2 linked regions of the Arabidopsis thaliana genome follow. The protein of the gene in region 1 interacts with the protein of each later gene in a pairwise test. Each region holds a gene or a part of one and is shown on either strand. Other genes may lie near its edges. The genes, in order: MKS1 and AT2G22880.

Region 1 (3,818 bases):
ATCTCCTCTGTATCTTGAAGAGAATCGTCCGATAGATGTTTAATGAAGTCTTTACCGCGCTCGCCATTTTTTATCTCTGCAAGGAATCTCTAAAACACCTGCTTTATAACTTGAATGTCAAATCCACATGCCGAGGAGAAATCCTCAGCAGGACAATGGTTTGAAGTTTTTAGAGAATGCATTCCTTGTGAAAAAACAAATTGGATTAAAGTTTAAGAACATCAAAACTAACATGAAAGGTGAGATTTTTTTGTTAAATACTTTCAGATGCTACTTTTTCTATGTTGTTTTTGTAATAACTTTTTCAACTTCCTTTTCTTAATCTTTTAGAGAAGGCAGTCCTTGTGGAAAATGAAATCGGATTAAAGTTTAAGAACATCAAATTTGAAGTGAAAGGTGAACTTTTTTTGTTTGTTTGTTAGTTTCATATCCAAATTTTGGTAGTTTGAAAACAAAAGTTCCAACTTTTCATAGTCACGTTCATATCTACATCTATAATAACTGTTAGTAGTTTCAAATGCAACGTTTTGCTCTGTTTTATTTTGGAACCATGACAATAGAAATTGTTTCGTTTGCATGTATAACCAGACACTAGTAAACATTCTCTAGAAACTATGCAAAACACTAAACAACTCAATGACTATGAATATGTTAGAATTTTTAAAACTTAGCTTTCTTCATACCAAAATTGTAAATACAAAGCCATTGAGTCTACCTTCGACCTGTAGTGTTTGGTGGATGTGGTTCAGCAAGGCGAGGAGTACCCATGTCCGTCGTTGCCAGCCCTCCCTGATACTAAGGCATCGTCAAATTCGGACCTCGATATGGCGCCGAACCACGAGTACCAAGTGTCTGTCAATTCCCCCACACTACTCAACGACAGTACTGGAGAGGTTTCTAAAGGACCATGTTGGAGTCATCTTCTATGAGTAGTTTATCTTTTTAAATTAGTAGCTTTCAAACAATCCTAAATTTGTAGTTTTTAAACTAAATAAAAATTTAAAAAATATATCTATAGTTATTAATTTAGGGAATAAGTTGAAAATAAGTCACTTTTTCAAAATAAATTTATAAAAGTATTCACTTTACTATTATAATATACAAAGTAGTCATTTTTCGTACACATAAATTTATACAATACATTCAATATACAAAGTATATATATTTATATATATATACTAAAAGTATTGTACATATGTAAGTATACGAAAAATGATTACTTTACAATTATAAATAATAAAATGACTACTTTTAAAATTATGTTTTAAAAAGTAACTACTTTCTCAATACACTCTTATTTTATTCGAATTGTTTGAAAATATTATTACACTCGAAAGTTTCAAACTTTGATCAGCTATTTTCTTGGACCAAACTAGAATTGATATGGGCTTTGGATAAACAAATGAAAGCCTGTTAGCAACCATCCTCATAATATATGTTCATTGTTATCATTATCTATATATGGAAAAATTATTAGACTAGTAATATTTTTATGTAGAAATGTTTTTAACCAAAGCCAGTTTATTTTTCTTTTATCAGGTAACTTAATAAAATCATTTATGTTTCAACGAGGACTAGTATGTTTATGTAGATCTTATTTGGTCATAGGTTCAATTTCGTCTTCTTTTTTTGCTGACAAAAGACAACTAAATATCTGATTTCTATGGGTAGATACTTAATTACTTAGTCTTCTAAGTATATATATTTAACTCACCCTATACAATATACATGTTTTTGTTTTTTTTAACAACTCATATGATAGGTCTTAATTAGGTTTGTTACTTCTATGCATGCAGACGTTAATAGCTTAGCTAGGTACTAAGAAAGAAAGAAATTGATTGTTACCATAATTTGCAACTTCTAGAACTTGTAAAACTTAAATAGAACTATCACTAATAATTGTATGTTAATGATTGACAACATTACTAATATATATAACTGTGTGCCGTTGATAATGTTGATTCCTAAGATCTTTCCTACTAATTAATTATCTAACATTAAGACAAGAATGGAAGTTTCCTAATTAAGCATGTGCTGTAACAATTTGGTTGGAGACACAAAAAGTCAACATTTTTTAAAGTCAAACTAATCGTTCTGATGACTTTTTATTTCTTTCTCTTTTTTGTTGTTTTGGTCAATTTTCTCAGTCGCCAAAACATTCAATTCCCAAACCAAACAGAGCAGAAGAACAACAAGTTTTGATTCTAAAAAAGGAAGCTTCCCAAGTATGGATCCGTCGGAGTATTTTGCCGGCGGCAATCCTTCCGATCAACAGAACCAGAAGCGGCAGCTTCAGATCTGTGGTCCTCGTCCTTCACCTCTTAGTGTTCACAAAGACTCTCACAAAATCAAGAAACCTCCAAAACACCCTGCGCCGCCGCCAAATCGTGACCAACCGCCGCCGTATATTCCTAGAGAGCCGGTGGTTATCTACGCCGTATCCCCCAAGGTTGTACACGCAACCGCGTCTGAGTTCATGAACGTAGTCCAGCGACTCACAGGGATCTCCTCTGGTGTTTTCCTCGAATCTGGCGGCGGTGGAGATGTTTCACCGGCGGCGAGGCTAGCGTCCACGGAAAATGCTAGTCCAAGAGGAGGAAAAGAACCGGCTGCGAGAGATGAGACGGTGGAAATCAACACGGCTATGGAAGAAGCAGCTGAATTTGGTGGTTATGCTCCGGGAATACTCTCGCCATCTCCGGCCTTGTTGCCAACAGCTTCTACCGGGATATTCTCTCCGATGTATCATCAAGGTGGGATGTTTTCGCCGGCTATACCACTGGGATTATTCTCGCCGGCGGGATTTATGAGCCCGTTTCGAAGTCCTGGCTTTACTAGTTTGGTAGCTTCACCAACTTTTGCTGATTTCTTTAGTCATATTTGGGATCAAGATTAGATTTTTTTTTGGTGTTTTGCTCTGTAATTTTTTTGTATTATGTATTTTGACATATCCAATGTAGTAGCCCAAAGGGTTTAAAATGAGCTTCATGTATAAAAAGATTAACTTTCAAAAATTTCAGACAGATTCCTAGAATGTAAAACTTGTCTGCAAACTAATATATACAGGAGTTACAAGATTCTCCTGACCTAAGATACTCTAATAAGTTTTGTGTTTTGAGAATAGGCTTCTTCATGAGGTTGTTGTAACAATGGAGTTCCAAGTTCCTCCTATCAATGTACCAACTCTCTCTCCTTTGATTGCTTTGGCGATGTTCCCAGGTTCCGAAAGATTGAATACCACAACTGCAAATTGACACAGAACTAAATAAGCATTCTTGTTGTATTTTAGATGATCATGTATGCATGTGGTCAAGGTTTGAGAGAGTGTTATAGAAAACAAGCCTGGGATGTTATTTTCTTGGCACAAAGTGATAGCAGTCATATCCATTACAGAGAGGTCCTTTGAGGTGACCTCTTGGTAAGTTAGTGAGTCAAGCAGACGAGCGTTTGGGTTTCTTTTAGGATCATCGTCGAACACGCCATCAACATTTGTTGCTTTCAGCACTACTTCTGCATTAACTGTGTCCAATGCGAAAAGTTTTTTTTTAGTGTTGCGAATAATCATTGGAGAAAACTTAAACGGAAACCACCTCTTTACTTACTTTCAGCACATCGAAGAGCCGCTGCAGTATCGGTGGTGAAAAATGGATTGCCTGTTCCAGCTGCAAATATTACAACCCTTCCTTTTTCTAGATGTCTGATTGCTCGTCTTCTTATGTAAGGCTCTGCGACTTCCGACATGCGGAAAGCAGTTTGAACACGGGTTGGGATGCCAATACTCTCCATTGTCGCTTGAAGAAATATTGCATTCATCACAG
Region 2 (3,182 bases), on another chromosome or scaffold:
ATATAGAAATCTGTATTAACGAGTAATTTTGGGTTTAATAATACTTTTTAATGTTAGGTTTTAGTTGGTAACTTCATAAATTAATCCAAATTTTTTGAGATTTTCTTTGAATGTTATTATCTCAATACTCTCTTACTTTCTTTGGTCAAAATTATCTCTTTTAAATGATTTTTTTATCCTGTCACAAAAAAAAACATATCCTTGTTTTATTTAGCTTTGGAAAAAAAAACAAGAAACTTGATATATCTTTTCAGACATCACATACTCTGCTTCAATGGCTACATCTCTTCAAACCAAATACACTCTAAATCCCATCACAAACAACATCCCAAGAAGCCACCGTCCATCGTTTCTCCGTGTCACTTCCACCACCAACTCTCAGCCTAACCATGAGATGAAGCTTGTTGTTGAGCAACGACTTGTGAATCCTCCTCTCTCCAACGACCCAACTCTACAATCTACATGGACTCACCGGTTATGGGTTGCAGCTGGCTGCACCACCGTGTTTGTCTCTTTTTCCAAATCAATCATTGGAGCATTTGGTTCTCATCTCTGGCTCGAACCATCTTTAGCCGGTTTCGCCGGGTATATCTTAGCAGATCTAGGTTCTGGTGTGTACCACTGGGCCACCGATAACTACGGTGATGAGTCTACGCCTCTAGTAGGAATCCATATCGAAGACTCTCAAGATCATCACAAGTGTCCATGGACAATCACCAAACGGCAATTTGCAAACAATCTACATTTTATGGCTCGAGGCACAACCTTGATAGTTCTCCCACTAGACCTTGCTTTTGATGACCATGTGGTTCATGGCTTTGTAAGCATGTTTGCATTTTGTGTATTGTTTTGTCAGTTGTTCCATGCTTGGGCTCATGGAACGAAGAGCAAGCTTCCACCTCTTGTGGTTGGGTTGCAAGACATTGGGCTTCTTGTTTCACGGATACATCACATGAATCATCACCGAGCACCGTATAACAACAATTACTGCGTAGTGAGTGGGGTGTGGAACAAGGTTTTGGATGAAAGCAATGTCTTTAAGGCAATGGAGATGGTGTTGTATATCCAACTTGGGGTGAGACCGAGGTCATGGACCGAGCCAAACTACGAATGACGGAAGAAACCGACATATCCAAATGTTAGCCGTCACTTTTAGCTATATTCTTCGCTTTAAGTGGGAAAAACTCGATTTTTTAGCCGCGGCTTCGAGATTAATTTATATTTAGTTTAAGATATAATATGTCAAAAACCAAATGTTTTCTTTTACTTAAAAACATGTAGATCACAATTGTGATAGATTTGATAAGTTTAATATATCATTTTTGGGTAAATGTAACAATTTCTAAAATGTTTGCATTGTATGGAAAGTGATATTCAAGGTTTGTAGATAGGATATCTTTCTCCGTTATACATATTTTTTTTTTCTATGCGGATAATTGAGTCTCATCACTTATCGAGATATCTCTTTACATTATTGCTTTTACTCTGACACTCGGAAGCAAAAGTTTTGTTTGCTTGTTATATTGTGTAGTTGTGGACCTAAACAGTTTTCAGGATCCTAACGGAAGGTAACTAATTAAGGCACAACCTTATTTCATACCACCCAACCAAAGTTCAAATGTTTAATTTATATCTAATAATTTCTTATGCGTTAATATATACTTAATCTTTTAAATAAAATTAAATTACATACCTAATTTATCAAATTATATGCAAAATTATATATTCTGCTGACGTTAGATACCACATATTTGATGATAATGATGACATGAATGCCATGTTACTAATGACACCGTTGCCATGTCATCTAGATTATTTTTTAACAAAAACTACGTTAATCCAAAAATGTACTCATTGCTTTTCACCTAACATTTAAATAAACAAGAAAATAAAAATAGTTAGCACACCCACGTTGACATTTCAATTCCATGAATCATCCCATCTCGTTCCCATTCATTTCACTTAAAAGTCAAAAACCAAGTAAGCCGCAAAAGAAGATCATAAAACCCAAAATGACTTACACGCTTCAAAACGTTGACATAATAATGCCGTCCACACACTTATAAATACTTATATGTGTACACACAAAGCCATCAAGGTAAGACACTTCGCTTCAAATCATTTGTGTATTACAGAAACTTCTGATCGTCATGGAAGCTACTTCACAACCATGTTTCTCTCATAACTCCTCACTTCATTCGACCCGTAAGCAACCGGCAAAGCCATGGAAAAAACCCGTAACGGGCTTGCCTCAGAGGATGCATCCTAAAGTTTACAGAGTCGAGCCTGTTAACTTCAAGGAGTTAGTTCAGAGGCTAACTGGTGCAGAAGACGTTGAGCAAGAGGTACATCAAGTTGAAGCTAAACCAGTCAAGATTTCTGATGATACAACAACAGCTAAGGATAATCCGTTCGCGTTTGATCTTTCACCTTCGTCATCTCGGTTCTGGGAAGCTTTCCCTCTGCTTAGTCCTGCTAATCTATCAAGATGGTAGCAAGAAAGAAGCTATTCTTGCCAATTTTTCGGCAATTCATGAATTTGTTTCATCAGAATTAGAACTGTAGTAGTAACACTTTATGATCTTATCTTTAAATACAAAAGTTACTGTTACATTACAAAACTACAATTTGATATAACCAATGATTCAAAACCGACCTTTTCGAACATTTGTTTACGAAATTTACGCGCTACCTATTGATCCCAGTAGTTTCTCAGCTGCGACATGTGAAGAAGAAGCTCGTCTCTGCCTAAACCAGATACACTACTCGTCAAAATCCAAGGAGGATGTACTTTAAAATTCTCTCTAATGATTTGTTGGAAAGCTTTAATGTTCTCATCAGGTCTTTTCCCTTTCGTTGCTTTCATTTTATCGCATTTCGTAAACACGAAAGTCATCGGTACCTGAAAAATCATCGAAAAACGTCATTTAACAAGTCCTCAAAGCAACATTTCACTGAACACACAAAAGCCAGAATTGGTACCACATACATTGTTGCGACCAAGCCAATTAGCACAATCAAGATCAATCTTCTGAGGAGGAACACTTGCATCGATGAGAAGTAGAACACAAACAAGACTGTCTCTATTCAAGAAGTAACCTTTAGTAAACGCAGACCAATCTGTTTTCGCAGCATCTGAAACTTTAGCAAATCTGCAAATATATTCTCAACATCAAACAATA

Evidence for each region.
Region 2: the proteins of MKS1 (region 1) and AT2G22880 interact in a two-hybrid assay, tested with the Arabidopsis thaliana proteins (one study listed by BioGRID).

The regions. Positions count from the first base shown.
Region 1 is NC_003074.8:6,428,833-6,432,650, reverse strand, and holds MKS1 (MAP kinase substrate 1), read left to right. Parts: upstream 1-2,136; 5' UTR 2,137-2,227; coding exon 2,228-2,896; 3' UTR 2,897-3,117; downstream 3,118-3,818. Other genes in the region: AT3G18700 (uncharacterized protein), read left to right, coding at 1-26, 152-239, 331-396, 754-929; AT3G18680 (Amino acid kinase family protein), read right to left, coding at 3,131-3,519, 3,603-3,818. UniProt on the Arabidopsis thaliana protein: Regulator of plant defense response. May contribute to MPK4-regulated defense activation by coupling the kinase to specific WRKY transcription factors.
Region 2 is NC_003071.7:9,740,432-9,743,613, reverse strand, and holds AT2G22880 (VQ motif-containing protein), read left to right. Parts: upstream 1-2,150; coding exon 2,151-2,495; downstream 2,496-3,182. Other genes in the region: AT2G22890 (Kua-ubiquitin conjugating enzyme hybrid localization domain-containing protein), read left to right, coding at 275-1,114; EMB2001 (P-loop containing nucleoside triphosphate hydrolases superfamily protein), read right to left, coding at 2,693-2,902, 2,990-3,152.